4 linked regions of the Drosophila melanogaster genome follow. The protein of the gene in region 2 interacts with the protein of the main gene of each other region in a pairwise test. Each region holds a gene or a part of one and is shown on either strand. Other genes may lie near its edges. The genes, in order: CDK2AP1, Sec24AB, CG31140 and stas.

The links.
Region 1: the proteins of Sec24AB (region 2) and CDK2AP1 interact in a two-hybrid assay, tested with the Drosophila melanogaster proteins (one large-scale study listed by BioGRID).
Region 3: the proteins of Sec24AB (region 2) and CG31140 interact in a two-hybrid assay, tested with the Drosophila melanogaster proteins (one large-scale study listed by BioGRID).
Region 4: the proteins of Sec24AB (region 2) and stas interact in a two-hybrid assay, tested with the Drosophila melanogaster proteins (one large-scale study listed by BioGRID).

What each region holds. Positions count from the first base shown.
Region 1 is NC_004354.4:11,135,503-11,141,735, reverse strand, and holds CDK2AP1 (CDK2-associated protein 1), read right to left. Parts: upstream 3,878-6,233; 5' UTR 3,680-3,877; coding exon 2,834-3,679; coding exon of another isoform or gene 2,792-2,833; 3' UTR 2,047-2,791; downstream 1-2,046. Other genes in the region: CG15199 (uncharacterized protein), read left to right, coding at 705-946, 1,008-1,116; ssp7 (short spindle 7), read left to right, coding at 1,492-1,558, 1,627-1,735, 1,802-1,892; Klp10A (Kinesin-like protein at 10A), read left to right, coding at 5,820-6,233.
Region 2 is NT_033778.4:9,875,091-9,885,265, reverse strand, and holds Sec24AB (secretory 24AB), read left to right. Parts: upstream 1-2,908; 5' UTR 2,909-3,083; exon of another isoform or gene 3,084-3,870; intron 3,871-4,049; 5' UTR 4,050-4,073; coding exon 4,074-5,570; intron 5,571-5,631; coding exon 5,632-5,758; intron 5,759-5,822; coding exon 5,823-6,322; intron 6,323-6,381; coding exon 6,382-6,607; intron 6,608-6,711; coding exon 6,712-7,334; intron 7,335-7,389; coding exon 7,390-7,622; intron 7,623-7,675; coding exon 7,676-7,773; intron 7,774-7,826; coding exon 7,827-7,965; intron 7,966-8,028; coding exon 8,029-8,140; 3' UTR 8,141-9,034; downstream 9,035-10,175. Other genes in the region: CG1513 (uncharacterized protein), read left to right, coding at 1-66, 129-303, 365-500, 558-644, 1,060-1,181, 1,264-1,369, 1,423-1,509; CG12744 (uncharacterized protein), read right to left, coding at 9,214-9,250, 9,307-9,752.
Region 3 is NT_033777.3:23,960,796-23,967,702, forward strand, and holds the start of CG31140 (uncharacterized protein), read left to right. Parts: upstream 1-2,384; 5' UTR 2,385-2,428; exon of another isoform or gene 2,429-2,438; intron 2,439-5,004; exon of another isoform or gene 5,005-5,009; 5' UTR 5,010-5,795; coding exon 5,796-5,907; intron 5,908-6,907. Other genes in the region: AP-1sigma (adaptor protein complex 1, sigma subunit), read left to right, coding at 103-147.
Region 4 is NC_004354.4:17,621,166-17,630,502, forward strand, and holds stas (stasimon), read right to left. Parts: upstream 6,731-9,337; 5' UTR 6,286-6,730; coding exon 6,264-6,285; intron 6,076-6,263; coding exon 5,775-6,075; intron 4,494-5,774; coding exon 4,365-4,493; coding exon of another isoform or gene 4,292-4,364; exon of another isoform or gene 3,099-4,291; intron 3,041-3,098; coding exon 2,530-3,040; 3' UTR 2,056-2,529; downstream 1-2,055. Other genes in the region: CG8326 (uncharacterized protein), read right to left, coding at 7,191-8,106, 8,176-8,258; corolla, read right to left, coding at 8,897-9,337. UniProt on the Drosophila melanogaster protein: Required in cholinergic neurons, but not in motor neurons, for normal neurotransmitter release by motor neurons. Involved in muscle growth.

The sequences.
Region 1 (6,233 bases), on a different chromosome or scaffold from region 2:
ACAGGATAGATAGTTAGTTACAGTATATATAGATAGATAGATAGATACATTGTAGATGGATAGATACAGTATAGATATATGATAGATATATGATAGATATATAGTTACAGTATAGATAGATAGATTGATAGATATAGTATTGATAGATAGATATATACAGTATGAAGTGATAGATAGATACAATACAGATAGACTAACTAATTATGATAGATACATTACTTGGTATGCAAATTGGTAAGATTGTCGTATTACTTCTTAATTACATATAAGCTATAGGTATAGTTATTAACTTTTGCTAAAAAGTTGACTACATTTTGGGTTCCTCTTCTATTAATCCTACTAGAATTTCCTGAAATGGTTTACCCAACTAATAATTAGTTACCCAGCTCCCAAATGGCTTAACCAATATTTGTTGATTGAAAAACTGAATTACTTTTGCAACTATCCCATGAGTGGAATGGCGAATACCTGATAGCATTTGCTTGGTGCATACTTTCCTGGTCTAGGCCAACATCCTCGAGTGTCAGCAAGTGCGATAACGTGGTGCGCCACTTCCTCCACTTCCAGATGACGAGAGCAAGGCAAACGCAGCCGAAATCGGAATCACGAGAGCGTTGATAGCCAGCTGATAAGATGGATGGCCCGCCGCCTATAAGAGATGAGTTCCGGTGACGACCCAATGCTATTCCACAACGAGAGCAACCATGTCCGGAGCAGCTTGGATGTCCCTAGCTTTTGTGGCCTGTCTGCTGGCCGCATCGGTGGACGGCAATGGGTTCAGCACCCAGTATCGTGGTCACACGCAGCACCCTAGCCTGGCGGAGCACTGCCTCTACGAGGAGTTGGACCTGGCCGTTCCACTCAATGGCTACGTTCTGCCCTCCGGTCAGCAGGGCTACTGCATTCGCTTGGAGTGCACCGATGACTATCTGCTGTTGATACGCCAGTAAGTTTCGAGATTTGATCGCATGCCCTCACTATATCCCATTTCGCCCAATCCCTTCCAGCTGCGACAAACAGCCATGGCCGCGACCTGGCTGCCACCTCTCACCCAACGACTATGATTTCAAGTTCCCCGAGTGCTGTCCCCAACTCGAGTGCTCCGACGAATACTAGATACAAGATACTAGATCCAAAAGCATCGATCTGTTCGGAATTACTATTTCTATTTAAACTATAATCCATTGATCTTGTGGCAAAGTTAGCCAAAGTACTAGTAACAAGTATAATCTTTAGTTAAATAAAAACATATATAGTTTAAGAAACTAATGATGTTATCACTGGAACTGCAGCTGTTTCGCCAGCCTCCGGAACGAATCTGTATGTAACGAGAATTTTCCACCTATTTGATAAACCCGAGGACCCCTGAGACGCAATCGCACGGGAGCACAGGGATCTTGACCTTTCAGTCTAATCGCTGGCGCACCCCGAAACAAGTGGAACTATATAGTCGCCCAGCCGAGCGATCCGTTGATCAGTTAGCTACATAATATGAAATCGGTCACGTTCGTACTCTGCCTGCTCGTTCTGGGCGCCCACTCGCTGCTGGTGTTCGCCGGTAAGTGGATGCAGTGCATCGTCGCCACAAACCATTCAATCCCGCATGTTCATCTTGTTCATTCGTAGTGGATTGCGAGATCGGTGGGCATCAGTTCAAGACCGGAGAGAAGTACACGCCGGAAGGTCGCTGCCTGCAGTACACCTGCCAGGCACCCAAACAGGTGACTGCCTTGGGGTGAGTAGCTTCTACATGGATTGATGACTCCTTGACTCACCCACCTTGCCACTTGTGGCCATCCAGATGCCCGGCCATCGCCTCCTTGAAGCCCTGCAAAATGGAAGAGGATCTGAGCAAACCCTATCCCGGCTGCTGTCCCAAGTTCAACTGCTGACAACGCCTCCCTCGCAAGTCGAACTGCAAATGTGAAATGAACTATGAAAACTGAATATATAACTATAGAAACATACATACCTTAAATGAGAGATGCAGTTGGATGGATGGTTATGAGGGGTTCATACATAATTAGAATCAAGTTTGCCAGTTCTGCGTTTACAAAAACCAAAATAGCGCATTTATTTCGATTTCGATTTCGGTTTCGGTTTGGTATACATGCTTGAACTTAGTCGTATTTGCTCTCATACATATAGTAAATAATGTGTATACATATATAAATATTCTCGTGTCAATTGCCACTAATTCACCATTCACTTGGACATGCACACTGTTCGCTTGCATAACAAGTATATATGTATACATATATCTCTGCTTAACTACATCTACATATCTGCATTTGTATAGTTCTCTAAAATAACGAGGAGCAGCTTTATCCGGCAGTGACAAACTCGCACAAATCCTGTCCAGATACATCCGTATCTGCATCTGCATTTGTATCTGCAAATCCTCGACGGCGGTTGCCATTAGATACTCGTAATTGATTGCATTCACTAACGCAGACACAGGAGCAACTGGGTCTTGCATTAACGGATACAAATTAATGGGTATACGGTAGAGATACACAAGTCCAATAACTTGGGCTGCAGCTATACTTGTAGCATTGTCGATTTAACCGATTGTAACCTGAGCTAGTCTAAACATTCTTTAACTATGGTCCGGCGGCCCGAGGGCCATTAAGTTGATGTGGGCTTACAAGTTAGTACAAATTGCTACACTTTAATGCTTAATTGGGACAAAATGGATCTTTGCGTTTGCTATATGTCCGTGTTTTTTTTTGTTTTTTTTGTTTGGGGGTAATTAACCTAGATGAGGCCGATCCTCGCCTCCTGGTCCATTTCACTCCGGGGTCGCCAGCTGCGGCGCCAGCGACTCCTCCTCTCATTGGCGCGCCGCACGCTCCGTTTCCATGAGGCATTCGCGCACCAGGATGCGGGCATGGACAATGCCCCGCTTGAGACGCTCCGTGGAGCTGCGCGAGCCCGTGTACGTGGGCCGGATATCGCGGCCCATCTCCTCAATGACGGCCAGCAGCTGGGCGTACTTGGTCAGCCCATTGCCCGGGCCCACTGAGGGCAGGCTGGCCGTGGAGGTCAGCGGCGTGGTGATATTGGCCGAAGTTTGGGTGGTCACCACCACGGGCGAGGTGGAGGGTGGCGGGTACTTTAGCTGCGATGAGCTCAGATTCAGGCCCATGCTCTGGCCATTGCTGCCAGAGGAGGTGGAGGAAACGCCGGCACCGGAATTCCGCTGACCACCATTGCTGGAGCACATGTTGGCCAGCGAGAGGGCCGCAGCGGCGACGGCTGCCGGCGTGGCCGTCGTGTTCGACTGCTGCTGGAGTAGCGCCAGCTGGGCCTGGAGGAACTGCGGGGAGTATTGGAGGGCAGCGACGGCGGCGGCAGCTGCTGCTGCATTGGCCGCTGCAGCGGAGCTCTGCTTGCTGGACGAGCTGCTGTAGTCGCTGGCGGAGGAGCGGTCCCGCTCCCGCTTGCCACCGCTGCTCGTGGAGTAGTCGGTGGCAGCGTTGGATGAGTTGGATCCGCCTCCTCCGCCAACGGATCCACGCGAGTGGTGGATGGCCGATATCTGGATTTGGGGCTGCTGCTCGCGCTGCTCCCGCTGCTGCTGGTAATTGTAGAAATTCTGCACTTGGCTGCGCGGTATCGGTGTCACCGTGACGTCACTCAGCTTGGACTCTACGGCCTGGATATCCATGATGTCCATGGTGGCGCTGGGCGATGTGGTGTCTGGAGTCGATATCCGTCGGTTGTTGTGGTAACTTAACTATGTCCACCTTTCCGTTTTCCTGGCACACAAAACTACTAGTTTTTAGCGTTTCTTTTTTGGTTTATTGTTTTTTGTGATATGATATCGATATCGATATCAGGAGGCGTTATTACGCTTTCCCTTCAACGCACAAACAAATACACCCCCACCAACAAAAGTCGATGGTTCGGATTATAGTATCGATAGACAAGCGCGATGCAAAGTGCCCACCTATTCGCGTCTCGAATGTGGGTGTTTCCACTGTACAAGCAATTTGTATACATGTGGAAAGCTCTTTGTCCAAATTGGTAAATGGCTAAATGTTTTTGAAAAAAAGATAATTAACAACCATAAAACTACAAGAAAATTACAAAATTTAACCCAAGTGCATATGTATACATGAATGACAAAACGGTAAAACCATGCAAATGAATAACCATCCACGTCGAATAATACCTAGTTCACCCTGATAAGGCACTCCCAATTTGTCTTATTAAACAGCTAATTTTGTTAGGGCTTAAAAATACCCAACGTTATGTATGTCTAGTGTTGTCTAGTTTCGGGGGGCGGAAAAGCCAATTGCACACAAATATACAAAGTATTGCCGAAACGTTGATTCTTTCAATAAATAAGGCACATTTTAATGAACTTATGCTTATGCCAACAAAAGCGGTCGCTTATTTTTATTACTTATTGATATAAATTCCAAAACAGCTGACATTTTTAACGGTTACTTTGCCTAGTGTTGGCCAAGACATCAATCTTAATAATAAACTCTCAAGTTGTCAAAATTATACTTGTATTTCTACTAAAAAGTCATAAATATACCCAAAAACTACTTAGCCAATAGTAACCCTGCTTAATATGGATTTTATTCACTTATTAACACGCCAATTGTCTCACTTTTCAAACACAACGGCTGATTGCCAGCACTGTTTGCGCTGCAGTCCAGTGCTGCGCAACGCGGCGGGGACAAAAAACAATGGCGAGGCGAAACTAAAAAATTGTGTTGCTGACATCTGGTCGCTTGCAAAACTATTTCTAGCAGATTTTGTGATATTTCGTTGTGATCGGTCGATAAATCCGCCAGTTTTTTTTTTAATGGAAAGTGCTAACACATTGTAGCGGTTGGGAAGATAGCAGGAAAGGTGAGCGAAAGGCAGAAGATTGCGAAAAATTCAATTAAATTTCCGCGACCGTCTGTTTTCTGCATCGGTGTGTGTTTGTGTTTGCTCGCAAGTGTGTGTGGGTGCTCTGTGTATGACGTAAAGCGATAAAGCAAACGCATTCCCCCCACTCCTTGCATATGTGTGTGTGTGCAAGTGTTGTGTTTCTCTCTCATCAGTTTTGCATCTAATTAGGAGCGGAAAGCATTGATTGGCTGCCAAACGCCGCGGTTTGTTGTTTTTTTCGCTGCATTTCGGCCAAAAGGCTTGCCGCAGCTGCATATGTGTCGCTATGTGTGTGTCAGTGTTGCACAGTGCCGCCAGTGCCCACAAAATGGGCGCACAACAACAAAAGCAGCAACTCGGTTGGGATTTTCGCGATCCTACGCTGGCTCGGAGCTCCCCTTTTCCTATTTCCAATTCCCAGCCAGCGGGCTGCCGTTTTTCCTTTTTGTTATCCGTTGCCAGACGCAACGAAAACGACAGTTGGCATTTGAATTCAGCACAAACACACATACTAACGCCGACCCGCAAGCAGCACACACACACACACTGGGACACTCGAAAAAAAAAAAACAGACGCTGTCGGCGACCTCGACAAGCAGTTGGGTTCGATTTAGTTGTCAATGCCTTGAATTCGGTTCGGGGCTTAGTTTCCACAAGTTTATCGCTCGTCAAGAAACAACGAAATAAAATTATTTTCGACCTAAAAAATCTGACTAAATTGTGTTTTTTGTTTATGTATTTATTTAGGCACATTTTGCACACCACAACGTAGTTACTACATCTACGACTAACGGAACTCCTCCTGCAAGCAGTGGAAGTTGCTGTCCATCAAGCAGTACTCGGAGTTAACGCAGGATAAGCCGGGAGAAAGAGAAAGAGATCGGTGGAGAATAGAGATATACAGGTGGAGTCAAAGAGGAAGGATCATGGACATGATTACGGTGGGGCAGAGCGTCAAGATCAAGCGGACGGATGGCCGCGTCCACATGGCCGTGGTGGCGGTGATCAACCAGTCGGGCAAGTGCATCACAGTCGAATGGTACGAGCGCGGCGAAACGAAGGGCAAGGAGGTAGAACTGGACGCCATACTCACGCTCAATCCGGAGCTAATGCAAGATACTGTCGAACAGCACGCCGCCCCGGAGCCCAAGAAACAAGCCACCGCGCCGATGAACCTCTCGCGTAATCCCACACAATCGGCTATCGGTGGCAATCTCACCAGCCGTATGACCATGGCCGGAAACATGCTGAACAAGATCCAGGAAAGCCAGTCGATTCCCAATCCGATTGTCAGCAGCAATAGCGTGAATACAAACAGCAACTCCAACACTACGGCCGGC
Region 2 (10,175 bases):
CAGTGCCTTGGTGCAGGCGGGATCAACTCACCTTTTTAGCTGAGCAAGTGTCTCACCATCCGCCAAGTAATACAAAGAAAAAAACAAGACTTTATTACCTCTATCACTTACGCATTTATTTGTTTCAGTTTCTGCCTTCTATGCGGAGCATTATAATAAAAAAATAACATTTGCGGCCCATGTATGGACCAAGTCGAAGTTCTTGGGACTCTCCATTGGAGTTCATAACATTGGTGAGGGTGTTGTGACCCTGGTGGATCGCAGCGAGGAGTACATAGTGACCTTCCCCAACGGCTACGGCAGGTGAGAACGTGTCTGTGGTATTTCCGGTTACAAACAACTGAAGACTATTTCCATTACCAAGGTCTATTCTTACGGTGCCTTGGATTGAGCTCGGCGGTTCGGTGGAGATCAAGTGTCCACAGTCTGGATACTATGCCAACGTGGAGTTCCTCACCAAGCCATTCTATGGCGGCAAACGGAACAGGGTCTCGGCAGAGGTGACTAGCTCTGAATGTGTACATTTGTTTTCTTTTATTAATTCGGATAATCCATAGGTCTATGCGCCGAGCGAAAAGAAGCCTTTCGTCTCTATTACGGGCGAGTGGAGTGGTTTGATGGAGGCCAAGTGGCATGATAAAAACGTAAGTCGTCCAAAATATGTTTGGTTTATGTTTGTAGTGTACTATTATATATTGTTTCTGTAAATGTTGATCCTTTACTTGTACTTTTTCCTCCGCATACTGCGCCAAAACGCTGCAACAAACAACCCCACGAGTTGGCAGCCACATCCACCCTTCACACCCCAACTAGACCTCTACTTACTATCCACGATTCTTCTGCTTTTCTCTTAAATAGCTCGGGAGCATTTCCTCTGTGTGTTTACTTTGTTTGTCTAGAAAATCGAACCCACAAATTAATCCTATGCCTGATTGTCCAACGTTGTATTCAAATTGTTGCTATCTGTACTTATATATGATTGCTGTGTGTTTAATATTACACCCAATCCCAATCAGTTGACCACATAGTGAATCTGAATGAATCTCTTGAATTTTCTAGAAAACCGAAGTATTCGTCGACGTAAATCGCATACCCATATTTAAGAAACAAGTTCGACCAATCGTTGAGCAGGATGAGTACGAATCGCGACGCGTTTGGAAGGAAGTGACAGCGGGACTCAAGTAAACAGCATACCAATTAATTCCTGACCCCCAATTGCGAGTCATGATAAATGTAATCTCTTTGTTCGTTGCTCTTCCACAGGTTCAATGACATCGAGCGCGCTACAACTGCCAAATTCGTTGTGGAGCAACAGCAGCGTGATCAAGCCAAGGTGCGCAAGGAATACGATCTGGCCTGGGAGCACAAGGTACGTCATCCCGATATAGGGTAAAACAGTTAACAGATAATATTCGTTCACAGCACTTTAAGCCCGTGGGCGACAACTGGATCTACGCCAAGCCGCTGAGTCAGCGCATGTATCTGCAGGAGAAGGAGGCCAAGAGATAATGCCTCCGACTGACAACGAGAGCAACAACACCAAAAACGTCTATATATATGGATCATATCAAGAACGAGCCTCAACTATATGTTTAATTCCACAAGTGCGCAAACCTCTCAACACTGACGATACAACGTAACGAATGCAGGAAAAGTTAGAGCAACAACTGAACTGGCAGAAGGAGATCCATGATGGAGGCTCCAGGGTCTGGTTATTAATTGTAAATAATATACACAGAGAAAAAGAAAGGAGTAAAGCTCTGCTCATTAGGTTGGAACGCGAGTCAAGCTCGACAGCTCAGCGGAGACAGAAAAATCAAACACTCACAGTTTCTATACAGAATTAACGATTATTATTTACTACTAAGTACTAGTGTGTTTCAAAGGCAATCGCAGTAAACTGCAACACAATGACACCTATTCAATACCTTTTACATTACTAACATTTACTAACTAGCAACAAAGAAAGAAATCCAATACATAATGGGATATATCAAAAGTTGTAGATTACAAAATGATAGTTACTTAAGGATAATAGAGATTCTATTTTTGAAATAAAAGACTCTGCTATAGACGAAATACAATACCGACACGCTAGTATCCGACAGATACTGCACCCTCGCTTCTTTCCAAGACCACAGGACAGACACACGGACATAGAACACACGGTGCACAATGATTTTCCAGTCGCATAGCTTATAAATCAAATACGATTACCTTTAGTATTATGTTTCGAATTCCACTTGTCACAATAATAACAATAAAGCTTTACCAAGAGTCCGCTGGTGACACACCTTTACACCTTACTGCAATAGAACCCAATTGAAAACCGAACTCCTAGACACGTTGAATAATAGACATTAAATTTAATTTATAACTTTATAACTTACGAGCCAGGAAGCAACACCACCCACACAGCAAATCTACCGACTACTCTCACGCAAAGTTAACGCAAAATGAAACGAATAAAGTAAATACGCTTCGAAATTGATTTAAAGTAATATTTAACGAACTAGTTACCCCGTAGAATAAAAGAATTGTAATCCCAATGGCATTAATTGGAACTTATATCCAAGCCCGGGGAAACTTGTATATATTTTTGCGATTTTCTTTTTAACCAACGTGTTAATTGAGAAATTGAGCTACTCCCAAGCAGATACAAATATTGCAAATAAAGCGATTTGTTCTTTAAGCAGTTTTAATGGATTTTGGATTTCGGGCTTACGAACATTTAAGCTCATATCATTAACAGAGTTATATATAATATACATTGCTTGTCTTCACTTAATAAACATTGCGTTAAGTTTTAAATTTGAATTGTTACAAAAATAATGTTACCATTGGTATCGATAACATTTTATTTGCAATCGATAGGCGACCCAGAGCACTGTCATCTCTTTTTTAAAACCAACGGTCACACTATTGACGTGGCCTCAAAATTTTTTGTTCTCCGGAAAATGCAAAAAGTTTGCATTTAAGTTAATTGTGCATAGCAGCGTACGACGCCAAGTCCAAAGAATCCGCCTGCCAATATAGGACGTGTTCGCATCCATCCGGAGCACGCGAGGAGCGCTTGAAATCGTGTAAGAAAGAAACTAGTGCGGAAGGAAGTTTTGGGAGTGGAGAGAGCGTAGGGAAGTGCGAAAATCGTTTAATTTTCGTTCGCGGAGAAAAATCCAGCCAAGGATTTCACAAAAGACCAGAACAAAGAGTACAACCAGTGGTTTTTACAGCTGCATCCGCCCTTTCCTCACAACGAAAGGCGGAAAAGCTAATTCATAGTCCGCAGCAAAATCGCCAATCAAGGGCGCAAGAAGAAGAGGCAACTACAAAGTGCAAGTGCTGGCCGAGGAACTTCATGCCAATGAAAACTGAAGCTCGGGAAGGTGATAAGTGATTGGTAACCGTGTTATGGGCACTACATATGCCTTGATTGCCCCAATTTCTTTGAGTGGGTGGTGGGCGTGGCGGGTTGACTTCGCCAATAGGCACGTCATCAAAAATTTGCTTTGTTCCGGAGACAAATCCTTTCTCTTCCTGATTGCTTCCACTGCATCTGGGTCACCAATTTAACCGACCCACCTTCTGCGATCATTGATGGCGAGGTCAAGTGCTTGAGGCACGCACACTTACACGTTGTACATCACATAATAACCCATAACGACCTGCTGTCGAAGCTGTTTAAACAGCAAAATATGATATGAAATTATCACCCTATTTCCGACTTACTGTTGACGTAGACACAGTTCTGTAAACACTGAATCAAGACATTTACCTAGGCAGCCAGTCTAGCTTAAAAGTTTGTGATAAAGCTCCAATAACGCAGAATTTCGCATTCCATTCGATCACTGCAAATTCTAAACTGTCTGTAAGCGGGGAAAAGCATCCCGCTTTAAAACTTTACAACTTTTATCAGCCGCACATTGTTTCATGTTACGCGCTTTTTAACATTGAACGATAAGATAATTCCCTGTTTCATGTCGGCAGCAACGCAACCTTCGCTAGTGATAAGATAGCAACTAAACAAAATGTAATTCTTCATCTTTCAGACCACAAACCTATGAATTAGCAGCATGTCGACTTACAATCCGAACTTCGTGCCTCCCGCCCACGCCCCTATGCCACTGAACGGAAACAATTTTGTGAATGGTGTGCAAGGAAGCGTCCAGCAGCAGCCAGGTCCTCCACCTGGTCAGCAGTATATACCACAGAAGCAGCCACAACAGTTCCAGCAACCACCTCCTGCAGCAGCTTTTCCGGGAGCAGGAGCGCCAGGTAATGTGCCACCGCCGCAGCAGTTCAACAGTGGTATTACGAACCAGTTCTTGCCGCCCACGTCAGGAGCAGCTACACCTCTGCAGCAACTGCCGCCCAGCACGCTGCCGCCCCATCTGCGTCCGCCCGCCGCCAACGGACCACCCCTTACGAACGGCAGCAATGGGGCGTCCAGTGCGAACTCTTCGCGCACTGCATCCCCAAGGCCAGTAGGAGCTGCCCCTCAATATGCTCAAGGACCAATCGCTGCAGCGTTGAACAATCCGCCCCTGGCGTCGGGACTGCGTCCTTCGCCCCAACCGACGCACCAATCTCTGGCCAACTTGACGAGCAATCTGGAAAATCTTAACTTGAATACCACTCGAGCAAATGGAGGTACCAGCATTTTGCCACAACCCCAAACCCAGCAACAGTACGCACCCACAGTAACACAAAAGGATGGCAGGGGAGTGGCCTCGGCCCAGACGGGTCCACCGCAGTTCAACGACGCCAACAGTCTGTTGGCGGCCAGCGGAGTGGCCGCTGCACTAGTTCCCAATGCCATGGCGACGCCGTTTAGTGGACAAAAGCCCCCCAATTTGGCTCCAAATCCGGCCAAAATGTTCGGAAGCGCCTCGATGGCCGGTAGACCAACACCAGCGGGGCAACGAATCCCATACGGAGTACCCCCACCAACTAACCCCGAGCAGCAGAGCCAGCAAAACAACAATCTACAGAATGCACCGCCGCCACCAAGAGTAGGAGCGGTATGGCCGCCGAGCTTACCAAATGTAGCGGCGCCGGGAGCCCAGCCCATGATGCCGCCAGCCCAGCAGACACCACAGACGTATCCATACTCCCAGGTTTATCAACCAGGACCACAGCAACAGCCACCACCTCCTCAGTCTGCAGTGCAGCCACCGCCGCCGGGAATGTTCGGAACGCAACCGACTGGAGCTCCACTGCAGTATCAGGCACAGGCGCCTCCTCAGGCTTACGGACAACATCCTCAGCAAGCACCCCAGACTGCACCCGGGGGACCTTATGGAACCACTGCTCCACTAAACGTGGCTCAGCAGGGATTCAGCAGATTGTGGGGACAGGATACTATCGACCTTATGCAGAATCGGCATATCTTAACGCCGGCAACGTTGCCTCCGCCAAAAGTGGTTTTGCACAACCAGTTTCACGAGTCCATAAACTGTAGCCCGAGCATTATGCGCTGTACGCTGACCAAGATTCCCGAGAGCAACTCTCTGCTCCAGAAGTCACGTCTGCCTCTGGGCATTGTGATACATCCCTTCCGTGATGTCAATGTAAGAATTTTATTGAAAATAATTTGATATAAAAGACTTTAACTTGGAATTCCTCACACAGAGCCTCCCTGTTATTCAGTGCATCAACATTGTGCGTTGCCGGCTGTGCCGCACTTACATAAATCCCTTCGTTTACTTCGTGGACAGCAAGATGTGGAAGTGCAATCTGTGTTATCGAGTCAACGAATGTAATTGAAAAGAGTTCCCAGCATATAATGGATTTAGTAATCCAATGTTTCTTTCTTCGTGCAGTGCCAGATGACTTTCAATTTGATCCGGCCACAAAGACATACGGCGACGTAACCCGAAGGCCCGAGGTACGCTCTAGCACCATAGAGTTTATTGCTCCTTCGGAGTACATGTTGCGGCCGCCACAGCCGGCCATGTACCTGTTTCTCTTCGATGTCTCGATAATCGCGCAGCAGAGTGGTTATCTGGAGGCCGCATGCGCCGTACTCAACCGGCACTTAGACGAGATGCCCGGTGATGCGAGGACCCAGGTGGGATTCATTTGCTTCGACAGCTTCGTGCACTTCTACAGCATGGCCGAGGGGCTCAACCAGCCGCACGAAATGACGCTGCTGGACATCGAGGACCCCTTCCTGCCACGTCCTGATAGTTTGCTGGTAAACCTAAAGGAGTGCAAGGAACTGGTGCGTGATCTATTAAAGCAACTGCCTAAGCGGTTTGCCCACACCCACGATCCGGGTTCCGCCTTGGGTGCTGCTCTGCAGGTTGCTTTCAAGCTAATGGTGAGTTGAGCTATTCAAAATTAAAGAGGAACCTTAATCATCGTGAATACTGTATACAGCAAGCGTCCGGCGGACGGATAACCGTCTTTCAATCGTGCCTTCCCAACAAGGGACCCGGAGCCTTGGAGCCGCGCGAAGATCCCAACAACCGCTCGGCAAAGGACGTGGCCCACCTTAACCCGGCAACCGACTTCTACAAGCGCTTTGCCCTAGAGTGCTCCGGCTATCAAATAGCTTGTGACCTCTTCCTGATGAACCAGCAGTACAGCGACATGGCAACCATTTGTAAGTGACTCTTAGTAATGTAAATTCAAACTGCCTTTTTGCATTAAGTTCTCTTACGAGTAATAGAGCACCGTTAACTTATTGGAGTTTCAATTTCCCTATAGCTGGCATTAGCAAACATAGCGGCGGCTGTGTACACCACTTCCCGCTCTACCAGAAGACAAAGCCACACATGGTAGAATCGTTCCGCTCGTGTTTCAAGCGCTATCTTACCAGGAAAATTGGATTTGAGGCGGTAATGCGAATCCGCTGCACTCGTGGCTTGCAGGTGCATACATTCCATGGAAACTTCTTCGTGCGCTCCACGGACCTGCTCTCGTTGCCAAACGTGAATCCGGATGCTGGATATGGCATGCAGATCTCCTACGAGGAGAGCCTCACGGACGCGAAAACGATTTGCTTCCAAGCTGCGCTGCTCTATACGAACAGCGAAGGAGAGCGCCGAATCCGTGTGCACACCGTGTGTTTGCCGGTTACCGCTTCGCTCCCAGAGGTAATGCATTCAGCCGACACGGAAGCTATTATCGGGCTGCTGTCGAAAATGGCGGTTGACCGGTCGGTCGCCTCCAACTTGTCGGACGCCCGCGATGCATTCATAAACGCTACGATCGACGTGTACAATGCCTTCAAGATAGCACAAAATCTGCCATCGGGACAGTCGGGTCAGCTGATAGCGCCGCGCAGCCTGGCGTTGCTCCCGCTCTACATCTTGGCCCTGCTTAAGCACGTGAGTTTTTTGCATATGATCTTAGTTATCACAGCTTATTTCGGTTTTCCACTAGCCCGCTTTCCGTGTGGGAACTAGCACACGACTGGATGATCGGGTCTACGCCATGGATTGCATGAAAACGCTACCGCTGGACCAGCTAATGAAGTACGTGTACCCGGAGCTGTACAAGATCGATGCGTTGATCTACCACGCCCGCAACTCGAACATTAGTTCGAACCAGGATGACGACGAGGACGAGGATGAACCGTTGCCGGAGCTGCCGCGTCTTCAATTGTCCGCGGAACAGTGAGTAGAGTTGATTTATTTTTGACCTTCGATAACGAACGCTTTAACTTCAGCTTGGACTCTCGGTCAATATTTCTGATGGACTGCGGAACGCTGATAATGATCTATGTCGGCCTTAATGTGCCGCCCGATGTTTTGGAAGCTGTTCTGGGTATGATCTTAAAACCCAACCAATTTGTGTTACTAATCTGTTTCTAATTTCAGGCATCAGCTCCACCGCAGAACTGGGTGATTATGTATATGGATTGCCAAATGTTGTGAGCAACGAGAACGATGTGCTGAAGCGTTTTATTTTGCGACTCAACTACGATAAGCCCTACTCGGCGCTGGTGCAGATAATTAGGTAAGTCGGACCACTATTAAAATATTCATAATACCTTGCTAATTATTTTATCTTAAATTAAAGGGACACGAGCACGGCCAAGGGCCAGTTCACCGAGAGATTAACCGACGATCGCAGTGAATCTAGTTTGTCATACTATGAATTTTTGCAACACATTCGGGCTCAGGTTAAATAGTATATAAGCAGGATATCCTACCACTATTGTATGCAGCATAAATACGAGTTTCTAAGAACCTAAAAACTCAGACTCTGGTGACTAGAAGCACGAAGCGAATGCAGGTGACACTGGTGCGAAACAATGGAGACCAGTTCGGGACAGACATACACTTGATACACCTTAACCACCCATCCCCTACCCACTCTCTCGGCTTAGGTAATTTTAAAGTGCATGTATTTATTTATTTGTTGATTTGTTGCACTAAAAATAAAATAAAATAATTGAAGATCATAGTAAATGCGAAAGAGCCAACTTGTCACAACAGAAACTAAGATATCGTTGCCAGTTCGTTTAGGGCGAACATTAGTCAAAAGTTCAGCTAACCAGTCAGTAGAGCTCCCGAAGAAGTGGATGGCTCCGTTATTTATTATAGAAACTATGCAATAAACCAACGAAACTGTTGTACATTATGCTTTAGCTCGATTTTTGTTCGTTCCAACTGCTTCAAACATTCTGCAAACTTCTCAGCCCCACAAATTGTTATCGCTTACCCCAATTGTTTGCTGTTTTCAGTAGTATTTATTTTCCGGAATCCAGAGAAATCTATATTTATTTATAAGTGTAAGGAAAGGCGTTTTGTTGCACTGTAGTTAGCGAACTTATTTCAAACGTATGTACGGATTTGGTATTGTGTATTGCATTCATTGGACTGCTAGGCAGTGAATGTCTTAAGCTTAGAAGGAATATTATACTGTATCAATAAAGAGACCCCATCCCTGTACCTCAGGTGGCGCAGTTGTCGTTCTTTGAGTGGGCTAACTAATCGAAAAACCATATACAAATACTGTACCATACTTTATACACATACGAGTACATCAAGATATAAAGCGAAATAAATTTTAATTAAATCATAAGGCAATGCGTTTTATTTTCATATGTACAGGCACATCTGTTGTTCCCAATATATCCCAATTTAGTTTTGGGAAAGACCTTAATTAAATTAACAATCATTTACAATGGATAGATGATGGCGCATAAGACTCAATAAATCGGTCAGCCCTTCGCAAGACATATCCTGGTTCTATGTTCCTCTACATAAAACAGTTGTCAGCGCCTAGCCAGAGATTCCTGCAAAAATATCAACTTTAATAATGGACAAATATAAATTGGGTATCTGGACTTACGGATTGAAGAAGGGGGAGCGCGGCGGATACTTCCTCTTTGGTGGAGGACACAAGATGGGATCCAGCTTATAATCGTTTGTTGTGTCTAGACTTCTGGGAGAGTAGTGCTGCCAATCTAAGGACTTCTCATCTGGTTGGTAGCCATCGGTCGCGTGCTCAATCTTCACGTGTACCTTGAGATGATCCTGGAGGAGGAATACCTTGTCGCAGAGCTGGCATTGAAAGTGTCCCTCTGTGTTGGGCACATGGGCTTCATGGTATCTTTTATAGTGCTGGTGCAGTTCCAGCGAGGATCGCATCGTGCGCCCGCATATATCGCATGTTTGACCAGTGCTCACAGGCTGCGGAAAGTGGGTGGGGAGGTGTTCGTCCAGCTTCTCAGTGGCATCAAAAGTCTGCTCGCACAGCAGACAGGAAAGTTGCACTTCAGCCAACGCCGTTTCCATTATCTATTTATTTCACATGCAACTTGTTTATTTTTATGTTAGCTTAAGAATATACGAATGGAAACTCTCTATATTTTCAATTCATCAACATATGAACTACTCGCATTACGGTTCCTCGCTCTCGTTCTTTTACTCCGTTATTTACACGTCTTTCTTTTCATTCAACATCCAGTCTATTCGATGCGCACTTAAAAGTCACAAGTGTTCCATTCGGTTACAAGAAATCAACTGTTCTTTTCGTTCTCCTCATACTCATTGTGAAAACAGGAGAGAGCGAAGTGTCATATCAGTGTTGCATGTTTAGCCTCTTTTAGCTATAACAAAAATTAGCTATTGTGGGAAGTGTGAGTTAGGGCAGATATCGATCAGCGCTGGCTCGACAAGTTCTCGAAAAAAGGGCGCAGTCTAAAACAACAGCACACA
Region 3 (6,907 bases), on a different chromosome or scaffold from region 2:
GACACATTCTACTTACACATACACCTACTACTCTTACTACCACTACTACTCTCTTTCCTTCTACTCTTCTCGTTCTTATTGTTCTTATTCTCTGTACTCCAGGACGAAGCCGTTGAGGGCACTTTAAGAGACATTGGACTCCTCTAAAGAACTAGAACACCCTAGAAATTATGTAGTTGATATTACACGCACACCCCGACACAATAACACACACAGTTACACCCCAGCGATAACGTGTGCTGCACTTGGCACTTTACAGCACTGCTCCATCCACTCCTCAACACTAGTGTGTGATTTGGCTGTTGTACAGCACTGAAGCGCTGAAAAAAAAATTATAAGCAAGAAGACGCCAAGCAGCGTGAGGCTCCAAAAAGCAATAATACTATATAGTAACATCAGAGCATCTGGTATGCGGTTTTTCATACACTCTATCTCGTAAATTTCACGCACAGACACAATAGATTCAGAAAAGTTCATGCAAAACAAGCCAACCTCACGTAGTTCCACCTGGGGTTCCTGAACTGAATTAATATTCCTCTTCCTATCTACATTTTATAATCGAAAGATCATTCCAATCAATCACCAAATGGGCAATAACTAATTTAGTGGGGAAATATATGCAATACTATTCTTACAATAGAAACATGTAAGCTTTAATGTTGATTAAATGAGAACGATATATAATTGAAAATTGTAATAATAACCGAATAAAAAAATCTAGTTTATCTATATCTACAAGTATATATATATATATATATGTTTATGTATGTGTGTTGTACGTTTTAGCCAAATTTTCTGTGTTTTGTAACTGAGAAAAACAAGTTAAAATAAAAACCAAGTATTTTTGAAAAAAAAATCCTAATTGTACTCGTATGCTATATGAAAATGGTAAGACCTGGTGAACCTCAGTTTTCTTTTTAGTGTCTTTGTTAAACGTTTAGTTTTGATTGTTGTCTTTGCTGTTGTTGTGACTGACCAATTTGACTGCTCTAAACTCTTGACGCCCACATTGTTCCACCTCCACTGATCTGATCTCTGAGCTCCACTCCCTCTAAACTGTCTATCTACCTATATGTCTGGCTTAGCGCACCCGTTTGGTGTCCTTTCGTTTTTAGTTGCTACTATATACCACCCTTTTTCATAGTCTTTTTCATAGTTAGCCCCCAGTATCGATACTTTTATTTGGTTTCCTTTTACCCCAAGCGCTGTAAAGTATAGTAACATGTAACTGAAGCTAAGCATTCTCCCTTTCCAGGATGAGACCCCGCAGAGTTTCTTCGACGATCACGGCCTGGGCTAAGTTGGCTCTATGCAAAAGTAACGCCAGAAAGGCATTATCTATATTGAACCCATTTAAAGTCGCCTTAATTGTATGTGTATTTAACGTAACCCAAAAGTATACCGGTTCTATTGTAATTTAACCACCCTGTGTCAGCATAAAAAACATTGTGTATAGAAGTGCTGTTAAACCTATTCCTAATTTCGCTTGGCAAATGCAATTTGCAATACATTTAATTTCACAAAAAAGCATCAATATCGGTTGCTCACACACGTTCATATTTGTAAAGATTAACTTAATGATAAGCAAAGTAAAGCGATGCGATTAATCGACGGTGTGCTCAACTCTATAGTTGTAAGTTAAAAGCCCTATAAATATATAAAAATTGCTGTATCCAAAGTAACCAATCAAAACTCTGTTTACTTTATGCATTCTTTGCTGCAAATAAAGATGGTATCGAGCGTGAGAGTTTTTATATTTCAGTACTACTCTTTTCTGTTGGGACAATAGTACGTCATGGTTATGACGCGGAATAAGCACAAGAAAGTAGGCAATGGTTTTTGAAAAGTTCGTTTTTATGAGATTTTACTAACTTAAATTATAAAATATAAGAAAATGCATTTTCTTACTGATTTTAATATTGAATGTAAAACTCATTTTTTTCAAAAAACCTACATTTCTAACCTTCAATTAAGCCTTAATTTAAAATAATGGTCGTTCTTTGGGCCAATTTCCTCTCTTAGCTTGGCCACATTTATTTTGGGGCCAAGTTGGCAGCTCGCCGACCAACAAATTGTTGATTTCATTTTTATTTGGGGAGGGGGGGTCGCCAGAGAGCATCCTGACTGCGAACGAGAGAGATAGAGAGCGACCTGGCTCTCTCCCTAACGGGAGCTCCCCAACATTTCCCCCTGTTTGTTGTTGGGCACGCACGCACACAGGAATTCGGCGAACTCAACACACTCAGCGTCGAGCGAGAGGGCGCGATTGGCCCCACGGCGTGTGCGAGCGGGACGCAGCGAGAGCGCCAGGCGGAGCAGCGGCGAAGGCAGCGATAAAGGCGCTGCGCCGCGAGAAAGTTGCAGACCCGTCCGCAGAGCGCACCATCGTCTTCAGCGGAGCACACACAGCAGCTAGGTGTGCTCTTCCGTACGTAACGGTTGCGGATTTTCACTGGATTTCCATTTTCACACAGCCAGCACACAGGAAAATTCTCACACACTCGCAGCGAAAAAGTGCATAAAACGCGTGGAAAACTCGGGGGAAATCGCGATGAAAACTTGCGAAAAACTCGCTTTAACTCGATTGCTGTGCGTGTGAAAATTTTCCATCCGGTGAAGGAAAAAAAATTCGAAAGTGCGGCTAGAAAAGAAAAACGAAGGAAAAAGCAGCAGCGCCAGCAGCAGCAGTAGCAGGCAGCATTAGTGGCAGTGTGAAAATCGAATGTGCAAAATTTTGCAGCTTCAAAAATGTATGGTACATAAAATTTCTCTCTCCAAAATCGCGAGTGTGTGTGTGCGCGTGAAAATTACGTTGTCATATGTGCCAAGTACCAAGAGTTTTCCAGGCCCCACTTTCCCATCCGAAGCCAAAGTTTTAACAAATTAACTCCTTCGTGTGATTAGCAATGAAAATGGAAAAAGACAAGGCCACACGCACTCCGTCCAGATACATATATATTCGCATATATATACCAATCAGACATATATATATATACATACATATAGATGTGGTGGCAAGGAATCAAGCCGCGCCAGCAAAAGAAAGAAAGAAAAAAATTCTCTATCTATTGCGATTTGCTCATGCGGCCCGAAAAGAGCGAAGCGCGCAGCATTGGGTGGGAAAAGTGGGTGGCAAGTCCAGAGGGGGAAAGGGGTGGGGGCGTCAGTGGGCTGGGTGGGCGCCACTACGGGTACGAAGTACGGCTGCTTTGTCTACAGTTGTAGAGTGTGTGTGTATACACAGCCTCTGAAATCTATATATCTCGCTTTTTTGGGCCCCCCATTAGCATCCATAATTTTCCGTTTTTTCTGCTTCTGCGCCTCTCCCAGCCCAAAACAAAACAATAATTTCCCTAAGAAAAGCAAAGCCGCAAAGTTTTCATCACCCAACCCCCAAATTGCCGCCCGTTCAACGCATTTGTTGCAAAAATATTGCTCGTTGTGATTTATCCTTAAACTTGGCCACTTTCTTTGAAACGCTCCGTCGTGGTGGAGTTGAGTTCGCGCGAGCGAGTGTGGTGGGTTCCGGAGTGCGCATGTCGCCAGGACATCGCCTGGTGGCCAGGATATATGGACACGGGAAACGGGTCCTGGACATTCCACGTCGTCAGGCTGGCTCCAAACTCACAGTTGCGGTGCAAATAATAGTACCGTCAAGTCCAAGTTCACAACTCATTTCTCAAGTTCGCAGTACTTCTACTTCAAGGGTTAACAACTTTTTTTTATAGAAAGTAACTGCGTATGTGGATTCCAGTTTTATAGATATTCCTTGATTCCATCTATAATCTGCTTTAAGTCATCATAACTACTATAATTTCGTGTAGGTGCTTTTCTGCGCACACAAACGATGCGTTAATATCAATATTCGATAGGATCGAATATCGAACTAAAATTTGAGGGTTTTAAACAATAGGAAACTCATATCTTGTTGTCACAATAGATAGTTATAGAATTATGAGCTTAGGACATAATTCGATGTAAAATCAATGCTAAAAACATGTCATATACACTAAATAAGGACCAAGATCCTTGTGCTTGAGGGCCATTATGCCGACCTTAACTTTGCGTATACACACAATGCGGATTTGTGCGCCTTCCGTTAGCTATCGTTTATTGTCATCAAGTTGAAAACTTCAAGTGTCGTTACCTTTGTTTCCGTCTATTATTAGGACCTGTATGATATAATATTTGACTGGATTGTCCTTGGCCATACCCGCTGGCGGTGGGCGGCCTTTGGCTGGGAGGGGGTGGTGCTGGGAAAGTGGGTGGCGGTGGTAATTGGTTCGTCGCAGAACATGTTGCATACTTGAGGGCGCCGCAGCTATGGAAATTGATAGAATCGCTTTGGGTGGGAGAAATTGAAGCAATGCAGTTTGCTCTAGCTCCCTCTCTCGCTTTCTGTGCCACTCTCTCTTTCTCCTTTTCCCTATGGTTCCCTTTCTCCTTTTCCCTGCGGTACACGCTGTTGATATCATATTTTTGCCACTTCTATTATTATATTGATGTCTACTACTTTTTTATGATGCTCCAAGAATACTGGGAACTTTTTTACCCAACTCACCACGCATGACGCGTGCCTTCTCTCTCGCGCAGCCCCATTTCTCGCTCTCTTTCTAGCTTTCTCTCTCTCTCTCTCGCATTTCCCTGTGGAAACTCCCGCTCTTGTGGATTTTATTATCGGGAAACGTTTTCCTTTCATTTTTTGGCTCTGCTGTTTTTTTCTTTTGGGGTGTGCGGCGCCCACGTATCAGCGCAGAAAAGCGGAAAGTGGAAAAGCAAAGGAACGAGCGAAGTCGAAGAAAAACATTTTCCGAGCTGCTGCTGCTGCTGCGACTGTTCGTTTTCGGTAGTAGTAAAGTGAAGACCGCCCGCCGAGTGAAGTGTGCCTACGTGTGTGTCCGCGACTGTGTGTGCAGTGCTATATACAAAATTCAATTGGAATTTATTTATTTCAAATGGCACACATAAATTCTAACAAGCAATTATCAAATTTATTTTGTTTAGTGCAGCGCCAGAAATTGTAAATAATTAACAGTTAAAAACTCACCACCAAAAGAAAGTTATAAACGAAAACGCTTAACCAAACCAAAGATGCATGAATATGAATCAAAGCAAATATGATACATAGCCAATATGTATATAGAAACTAGTAAGGATAAATAAAGTTCAAAGCGAGGAAAAACACCGATCCCGACAAGCAAATGTCCGGATAAGGGAGCCGCTACCTGACCAATGGATGAAAATGCAGCCGTCGTCGCCGTCACTTTCGCCGTCGTCACTATCGCATCGCTTTTGTCAGCAGCAACAGGAAAAGTCGGAAAAGCACCAGCAGTACCAGCAGCACCAGGAGCAGCAACAGCAGCAGAAGGAGCAGCAGGATCAGAAGGAGCAGTCCTGCCACGCCCACGCCAATCGAACGCCCTCGGTCGGTACGGCAGCGCTGGCTCAGCTGGCGTCGACGCCCGCACCGGCAGCAGCGGCCTAAATTGCCCAACCGCAAGAATCCCACTTCGAAATAGCCCATATACACAGCAGCAGGCGATATTGCAACTGCAACACATACTGCACTCGCAGCAGCCGCGAATACTGCTCATATAACTGCAACATCGAGAGACCTTTGCCGCTGCAAGCGCAACAGCAACTGCAGCTGCAACAGCATCCTCCAGCAGGACAACGCACAAAAAACCCACTACGCATAAGGCAACGGGGCATAAGGAGGCACAAGGAGGCGCAGGAGGATAGACCGGAAGCAGAAGGACAGGAAGTGGGGCGGGCTGCGGACACAGGCAAACAAAATGGCGGATGGTGGGCATTCATTCGTGAAGAAGACATTTCATAAGCCAACATACTGTCACCACTGCTCGGATCTGCTCTGGGGCCTCATCCAGCAGGGATATATCTGCGAAGGTAAGCACCGAGCTAGTACAAGTACTTTAAATATTTTCAATGAGATCACAGGATATCCCACATTTTTTTATTCATATTTATTGCGTAAGCAATTTGATCAGAAAGGCATATCTTACATTGGATTATCTCCTTCAAGATAATCGTTAAAACTGAATTTTCTATATGAAACTACATCTTTCGTCCATCAGTTCTCAATTCAGTCTCAACGGCCGCAATAGAAATAAGTTGTAATTAATGAGCACTAAACAGAACCGAGAAAACGCAGCACGCAAATCATCGAACATCTTCAACGCCAGCGGCAGATGTAAAAATACATTTCGTCTAGTTTTGAAAATACTTTTTAAATTGCCATAAACTTGGAATGAAAATGCGGCCGCTGATGATGTCGATGAGGATGAGGCAGTAGTGGGTGGCATAAACATGCACAGAATAGCGAAATATAGGAATCTTATCATGAAATGATTACTATTATTTTGGATAGTATATGTGAAGTGTTCAAAGCATCAGTAAAAAGATTTAATAACTTAATTGGGTGAATGTATATCTTGACATTTATCAGAAAAGGTTTGCTATTGATAAAATAATAAAGTAATGTAGATTATCCGAACCGAAAATAAAGCAATTGGTCTGTGCCTCGTCCGACAATTGCGTTTTCCCTGTGAAACTAAACAAGTTCTCCTCGTGCAGAGTGATCGGCAGACCCGACGTCATCGCCACATGACCAATGGGTCATCTACGATTTGTGTAGATTGTACGGATCGTGTAGATCGTATAGATTGTATAGATTGTCGATGTGCTCCGACAGTGGCAGCATCTAGATCTGGTGTGTAGTAGCATTGGCATAGGGGCGGCATCATCGTGCTATTTGCGGCCGATAAGTGTGCGCGTTTGAACTTTTCCAAATTGTGCGGCTGTTGGCCGTGTCCGCCGTGACGTGAGCGGAGCGCCAACGACGTCATAGACGGCTCCGATTCGCTGTGTAGATATGTATGGGCTCGTC
Region 4 (9,337 bases), on a different chromosome or scaffold from region 2:
AAGGGAGCTAAATAAAAGATATATAAAATATATATATTGCAAAATCATCATCTTCAGGTAACGTTTAAAGTGTATTGTTGAAACTTAAGCTCAACTTTGAAAGCAATTACTCGAGAATTACAAACTGCCTAAACATACCAATTAAGCAAAAATACAGCTTAACAACTGCTTAGACACAAATTTAAAATTAAATTTTTGCCCATTTATAAGCGGATTGCTGAACGAATGCTCTCCACAATGTAAATCGCTTTTACAAAGCCCATGGTTGCCAACTAATGAAGTGCATAATTTACAAACGATTATGATTCCCTTTGGTTGCCCCGGCCTCCACTGCCACGCCCACTCACATTTGTCTGTACGCATTAAGTGATCAGAATTTGTTGCCTGAAACAGACAGGAACACTCCGCAGCAGCCAAACTCATATCTGTACTACTTAAGCCCAATAAAGATGTGCATATTTTTTAGGCAATTGCCAAAAGTTGGAGTACGCCTTTGTACTGATGAAACGCATGGCAGGCGAAATTATGATGTCGTTAATACAATTTCTATGCTGGCACGGTCGTGCAGTACTGCGTCGATACGACAAACCCAATCGTTCCGTTCTTACAAGCCCTTAAATCAAATAAATTACATATCAGAATTCGCGAATTCTTTAGCACATCAAATTTGGGTCAATGCTATATTCTTAACTATCAACTTACTGTTGATTCGAACCATACATATGTACATATATGGCTCATATCCCCCATAGGCAATACCCACTGTTTTCCTCATCACGGTCCTTTATGTTTCACTACACGCGTCCTAAATCAATTACGAAAAGCAGAACAACAGCAGAGAAGAGCCGCGTTGTCCATGATGTGCGTGTCGGTATAGCTTGACAAAATTCCGGTGGTTTTTATACCCGTTACTCGTAGAGTAAAGTAAATATATAAAGTATATATATTCTTGATCAGGATCAATAGCCGAGTGTGTCCGCAGCGAAAGTGTGTTGACCCATGTTGCCACTCCCGCCCTAAAGCCGCCAAACCGGTCACGGTTTGAACAATTTTAAAATTTTTCTCATTTTTATTTTATATTTATCCATATCCCAATGATGAAATTTCGCGTTCGCATTCACACTAGCTGAGTAACGGGTATCTGATAGTCGAGGCTATAGCATTCACCCTTGTTTTTTTGTCTTTGCCACTGTGCGTGTGGACACCTGTAGCACCATCTGCCTTGAAGACCTTCTAAGAAAAAGGAGGGAGAACACTACAGTCCAGTGCCACGACTATTAGATACCCATTACTCAGCTAAAAAATCGGGCATACAAAATGTATAAAATTGCATCCTTACTCTTTTAGTTACAAGTCCATACGAACGAACAGACGGACGGACAAGGCTCGTTAACGATTTCTTTTACCAGTTAAATACTTAAGTTGCGACATATGTAGTATGCCCCTTACTCTACAAGTTAACTGGTATGATAACCACAAGCCAGCCGACTGTTGGTGAAAAATCTCGTGGGGCAACGCAAAGTCTCGGCGAAAGTAAATTAAAAATATTTTTGAGAAACGGATCTCAGCAGTTAATCCTTTTAAAAAAGTTTGCCTAACTAATTGAGCACACAAATCAAATGGCTGCCAAAACCGCAAGAATAACAAAAAGGCGGCCAAGAAAAATCGAGCAGTATGCCAAGAATAATAAAGGCTAATTAAAGCCATAACAAAGAATAGTCGACAGGGGAAACCAAAGTTTTGGCCAATGTAAATGAACAAGATGGGCGAGAAGGTAGAAGACCAAAGCTCTTGCCAAGTAAATTCAAATTTGCCGTTAAACATTTTAAAAGCTTACAAAACAAGCATAGCTTTAAGCTTATAAGCTTATATATCGCTTTTTAAGCTTAAATTTCACTATATTTATAACGTATATTTAAATTTAATCTCACTGTTAGTAAACAAATTATTTGCATAAGTTTCATGTGAGTAAAATGACTTCTTGACCATACAGCGTGAAAATATTCTTGATAGTTTTTTAGATCCAGATATGACCGAAAATAAAACACATAATTTGTAATTTGTATTTGTTTTAACGTTTACTTGCAGACACATACATACTTTAATCATCTTTTAACTTACATACGCTGCGTAATATTCAATGGATTTCTGCTAACTCGTTTTACTTAGAGGAGAACTTTTCTAGTAAATACTGCAATAGCACTAAACAAAAATTCACTAACTTAAAAACGATTGATGGAAATATATGATGCAAAAGTTGTTTGGTAAGAACAAGTTCAGAAAACATTAATAATTTTAATAATAGGATAAACACAGATATTTTGTAGTTGTCTTAAACATAGTGGATCGAGACCCAAAGTGGCATTCCGAAAAAAAATTTACAAACAAAAAAAAATCGGTATGTGTGTGTGTGTTGTTTCTGGCGTAGTGTATAAATTACAATTAATGATTTTTCGGTTTGTTTTGGTTTCGGTTTGGGGAATAGCATACATATATATAAATATATTTTGGACACATCCTCCGGCCAGCTTACGCCTCCTTCTTGTGCTTGAACTTGTTCTTGAGTAGACCGGGCAGCAAGGATGCACAGGCGCAGGCCATCAGGATGCCCATTGAGGTCCAGGAGAAGGCCTCGCTCGAACTAGTCATCTTCTGGAGCGTCTTGCCCGCCTGGATGGCGATCACCGAGGGCGGTGCCACGCCGCAGAAGGTGCCCAATGCGAAGATGTGCAGCGGCACACCGATGACTGGCGATGCCAGGTTGATGAACCAGTTAGGCAGGATCGGTGTCATGCGCAGGAATAGCATATAGTTGAACAAACTGTCCCGGTACTCCTCGACATGCTTCGACCACTCGCTGGTCTTCTTCGGCCAGAAGTGACGAATCAGACGACGTCCGACCAGATTGGAAAGTGTATAGCATAGGGTAGCGCCCAGCGCCGAACAGAAACATATGAGGAACAGGGCGATCGGGAACTTGTACAGGAATCCCAGCAGAATCGAGAGGAACAGCGATCCGGGAATGGCGAATGTTTGCAGGCTATAAATGGATTTCAATTGGGTCAAGGTAACCAGTCGTAGGCGGTTTCATCTGATACCTGCAGTGGCAACTAAATTTAATGACCTATTCGACGTATTGCCACATTGATATGTTTTATATGGCAAAATTAGCGAAACTATTAGAGAGATGTTTTAGGAGATTGCCAGTATTCTTTGTTTATTTTTTGGCTAAAAACATGTCATGTCACATTGGCTAGCAAAATACGTTCTTTCTTGGAACCACTGTGCTTGGGATTAAAGACAGATCGTACGACTAGTTGGACGCGTGCTCGAACGTCTGTGGGCGGGTATTTATAGACGCAAAGAGTTGACAATGACACCCCCATCGTCCGAGAATCCCCCACAGTCTCGTTCCATCTGGCATCGGACCACGTATTCAACAAATGCCCGATAACAAATGCACGGGCCAATAAAAAATGCTCACTAACACACTGGCGCAAGGCTATAAAGTTACGTATGTGCTTTAGCTTTTGATTTCGCTTCTAGGTTGCCTCTTTATTTTTTTGTTTATTCCTGCTAAAAACGCACTTGAGTGCGGAAGAAGAAGAGCAATAAACAAAATACAAAAAATCAAAACACTGACGACAACAAAATAATGTCCAGCTCAGCTGATTTTCGCGACGAAAACAGCAACAAATACAAAGAATGCGTCATATAAACGACCAAAGTCGATTTTTAGGTAGCACATGCTGCGTGCACTGGAGTGGACCTTATTAAAACGATAAACTTGACACGCACCGATAAAAACTAATCATTTTAAAATATCTTAAACCCAGTTGGGTTAGCAAAACATTTTCTAAATAAACTAATAGCAACACAGTTAACATTGCGTATACGTTATTTTATTACTCATACGCACAGTGAAGAACCAGTTTTGAGCATTGTGGGTTTATTTTTTTGTTTGCATTGAATTCTAGTAACACGAAATGCTAGCGTGTGAGGAAAATCCAAAGAAATACGGTCCACCCCAGAGAGTGCAAGTAGTAAGTAAGAGCAAGAAGGCAACCTCAGCGGCTCCCCTGCTTCCTACAGCTATCTCACTCGCACTTCCCCGTGCTACCCACGTATTTAATATGCACACTATGCGCTTCAAACGGTGATCGTGAATTAATTAAGGTGGAAACACACACAAACGCCCGACTGACCGTGAATAGTTTGTAGTGGCGGGGTCTTCATTTTTGGTAATCGGGTCAAGGTCACCGCCGAACGATAGAACTCTTTTATTATCTAATCAGTCGGCGACCGACTTTTCATGCCATTTTTCGTACTTTGGATTTGTACTTTTGGATTTGGTAAAAGGATACAATACGTAGGCGACCACGACGCCAAACATCACTTCGAAGTAGTACATGTCCTTGTAGCGATCAAGGACCTTGGCTAGCATCTTAGCATCTTGGATATCACGCGGAATTTTCAAGTGTTGTTTCTCCGACCTGCAGAAGTTGGGCAAGAACAAAACCGAGACGAGGTGTAAACACAGTCTATGTATATATGTATATATATACAAATACTTCATATATCGGTGGCGTGACTCGATGTGTGTGTGTGTGTGTGTGCGAGTAAACCCTCTCGCCAGATAGCTCTGTAATTTCAGCCATTTTCCAGTCAAATCTGGCTACTCAACTGGAGCTTAATTGAAATATTTCTTAATTTACAAATTTAGATAAGTTTGGTTGCTAGGGACTGGTATATAATATTACTATTTGATTAACTATCTAAATAGAAAACCATTGTTATTTATTGAATACTATACTTTAATAACTCTTTGTAAATAGTTCCTATCTTTACTGCCCAAAAACGCCTCTTAAATGGAAGCAAACTCACGATATACAGATAAGTGTTTTTATAATGCCGTAAAAGGTATCATGATTTGGTTACTATTTCAATTACTTTATAATCACTGTATGCCAATGCAGTGAAAAGGCACGAACACAAAAAAGAACAACAAAATAGATAAGTAAAATTTCACAGCATTATCAATAAGAATAATGGGTCTGCCAAGGGACTTTGAAAAAGATTAGAGGGATCTGCACTTATAGTTTTCAACACGTTACGTTTGCTGATCAAATTTGACAAAAAAAAAACAAAGATTGTTCTCTGACTTGCTGATTCCATGCAAATCAAATTCTGATGAATTCAAATTGATAGAAGTATATGTACACAAACGTCTTGAACTTTAAACAAAATAAGTTTACTCACTCACAGAACCAGACTATCAAATAACAATCCGCTTTAGGTAAAGTTTAAAGATAATAATAATCGTGTGCAGAAAGTTTTTCTTATGCAAAGCGTGACATTTGAGTTAAGTTACTTATTTAACATGGCTGTTATAGTAAATATTTGGACAATTAAATGGCCCTTTTCTCACTACATACAAATAGTTATGTCTGATCTAGCCAATAATAAGTATTTGCAATAAGAGTTTTACATCCTACAAATGTAATATCTATGATATTTAAACATAAAATATTGTTTTAGAAGCGAAATGGAGATAACTAGCATTAGGTAAATGACTACCTAGCATATCTAATCATAGTTGGATGTAGCCTAGCTATTTTAAGCGGATCATTGGTCGACATCTCTGCTCGCAAATCAAGCGAGACAAGCTAAGCATACACACACACACACATGGAGGCCACTTAACACCTTACAGGTGCACGAATGCGCAGGGGACACACATTTGTGGCGCTTTAGCACCAGAAAGACCCACTTACGCGTTGAGCTCGGGGAATATGGCGTACACATAGCACATGGTGACCAAGCTGGCCACAAAAATGCCCGCTACGATGACCAGGGACTTCTTGGTGGCCTTCTTCTCGTCTGCGGACATGGCCTGCTTTTGCGGAGTGGCCTGTTGTTGTTGCTGCTGCTGCTGTTGTTGCTGTGGATTAAGATCTTGTTGCTCCTGTGGCGGCACCTGTGGCAACAGTGGAGTAGCCACCTGATCCGGGGAGTGTTCCTGGAGCGCCTTTGCCCTGCCATTGCGCATTGTAATCCCCTCGTCAGCGGAAATGGCTAGAAAAAAAAAACAGAGACATGCAGATGTAATATGCATTCCAAAGCAGAAGTGGTGGTGGTGAACAGAATGCACGGACTAAGGGTTAATAGTCGTTTTTGGCTTCACGGGCTGCGCACTAGCTGCGGGTTAATCACCGTTCCTTCGCTCAGCTGATAAGTAAAAACAACTAAAACAGCACACTCACCCACACCACTGCAGTAAGACATTGTGGCTTTGACACGATGTACGTAAGCCCGAGTTGAAGAAGGAAAATTTAATAAGCCTTCTATATCCGATTTTAATTCACGATTGACTCATTTAGCGTCTAGGCTATTTATCAATTGTTAATGCTATTTGTGTGCCTATTTGCGCGCCAGTCACAATTTGTTGTTCTTCTCTCTATCCGCGTGCCTATGCGTATGTGTATGTGCGTGTGTCTACAACAATGAATTTAATCAATATAAAAAAAATAGGAAGTTGGCTAAAACTGCGTTAACTAGAGTAATTGTAGTTGACTACTGCGCTAATAGCAATTTTTTTAAATTTTTTCTATTGCTTTTCACTTTAGCCGACTTTTTCGGCGAACGATCACGCTTAAAAGTCAATTTAAAATAAATTAATTTCAGAAATTTCCGTCACGACCAGTGTGGCCGAAGGCGCAGTGTTGATTAAGTCCAAGCGTGTACACAGCTACCGCACAAAACTGAACGTGGGTTTCTAATAAAATCTGGTCATACTGTCATATTTAGCGCCACTTTTTAGTTTCTCTAAATTTTATTTATATTTTTTAATGTTATACGTAAATAAAAAAATGTGAGTGTCTGCATAAGCAAGTGAAGTACTTTTTTTGTATCTATAAATATCAACATAATAGTGCCCTTTTTCTTTTTGCCAAAAGACTCCATATTAATTACCACCTCCATGAAATACTGATAGAAATAGTGGAATTAAACAGTGCACTTTTTATTTTGTATGAAAATAGATTTAATAAAAATCTCATCAATATATTTAACATTCTATAATGAAACTACGACCTTCAGTGGGTAGCAAACGCATTCACGAAACTTAAGGGATTAGGTTAACTTGTTTTCATGTAAAAAAAAAAGTACGTTGGTATCTAGTCTAGAATCTGTTAGGAATCTGCTGTTGTCTTGTTTTTGAGCTGACGGTATAGCTGAACCATTTTGCTGCGCTCGGTTTCAAGCATTGACCTCGTAGCCAAGGGCAGATCTTTCCGCTTGCCCTTCATCTGGGCCTTGGTGGGTGCTTTGAAGGCGCTCTTAGATTGGGCAGCCAGCTTTAGTCGACTGCTGTCGTCGTCCTCCGGCCCACGATTTGACTGACCCTGGTCGGGATTCAGCATGGACTTTAGAAGGAGATTGGCTTTGCGTCCTGGACGCGGCACGGTTTCACTTTTTTCCGCTTTGCGCGGCAGGATTTTGAGGGAAGGTGGGGCATGGACGATCTCACCAAATGCCACAGCATCCTGTTTGAATTCTGTTGGCCCGGCATTCTGCTTCTCCTCGGTATCAACCTCTTGCTGGGCCTCCTTGTAGGCCCTCTTCACCAATTCGCGACTGGTCTTCGCATCCATGGGCTTGTGTACGACTTGAACCTTTTTGCGACCCCTTTTGCCCGCCAGCCGTTGCTCCTTTTGCTTCTGCTTGAGCAGCTCGTCGATCTCGTTTTTCGGCCTCTTTTGGACAGTAATCTCCCCGGTTTTGGGGTTTCTGATCACGTTCACACCATACTTGGCCTCGTAGTGGGCTTCCCGTACGGATGCATTGGTCATGCGATTCACTCGGCGCAGATAATCCTCGTCCGTTTCGTTGGCGAACTGCTTGATGTTACGCGTTTCCTTTGAGGAGGAACTACTGCCAGGCTTGGATCCTGGAGAGGATTTGGGCTTATCCTCCCGTCCAATTTCGCCCAATCTTAGCTTCTTGCCCGATTTGGTGGCGTTGGCAAGCTGCTGAAACTGACGGAACTTAAAGGACACCTGCTGCTCATCCTTTTTCACAGGCGGATTGTTCGTTACTTTGGAAAGTCTGAAATGTGAAATGGTGCAGATATTAGTTTAGCTGCCTTTTTCGACTGACTTGCCACTATGAACAAACTTCTTCTCCTTCTGTTCCAGCTGCTTGAGGGGATCACGGACGCCGTGGTGCTTGCGCACGGGAATCTTTCGTTTCCGAGCCATTTATTTTGGGTTTTGGTTCAATTTTTGTAAAACAAACTCGTGGTATCGACAGCATGGGTTAAAATACTAAGCGCGATGCATGCTGACAAATACCAAAACAAACCATAAATATACCAAATCGATTAAAGCTTGGACTCAAACCATTGGCGCCCAGAATTACAAATGAAATATTAAAGTTAAATATATATTAGATTAAATATATAAATGTATTTTACACTATGTATTGTATTAAGTAGTCTTCATATTCCCCTATTTTATAATATACATTTTTAATAAAGATTTATATGCTGTAATGAGAAAAGTATTTTATTGCAAGTGGTAAAATTTACTGTTTGCAGTAAAATTAAATATTTAAAGTCACGAATTTGTCTTAATTTATTGTTTTATTAGTTTATAAGCAACGACAAAATGAAGAATAAGTCTGAAACGGCACTTTCGAACTGAATACGTATGATTTAAATGTACATATGCATATTATGTACGCAAATTAATTTCATTATAAAGCTACAAATAATTTAGCTGAAGTGAAATTTTTTTTGATTGCAAATGGCAATGAATGAATAAGTATCTGGATATTAATTAATTGTCCGTTCTTATAAAGAACATACATTAATTTTTGACCAAAATACGTTAACAATTTAAAGTATGTACGCCGAGGCGGCAGTAGGTGTAACATCATTATCATCGCTGAAGTTCAGCAGGTAATCATCGTCAAAATTGTTGTGGGGCGAGCTGAATCGAAGTGATTGATCATCAAAGTTGTTGAATGTGGACGACGGATGCTTAAAGTAATCCGGCATTGGTTGGCTCATTGGGAACTCCTCCTCCTCCAATTTTAGTCGCTTGCAAGGCGGCGCCTCGTTTTCATCGCGATTGCTACCATAGTTCATAAACTGGGTTGCAGTAAAACGATTAAGAGTGCCCTTGGAGGTGCTGGGTATATCGTCGCTGGCCCAGGAAGATATGTTTTTGAAGGGAGAGAGAGTGTCGACTCTAATTATTTGTGGTTTATCGGAAATTTCATTGGATAGCTGCTCATCAGTCTTCGGGTTTTCGCCGATTTTTACTTGTTTGGCCGC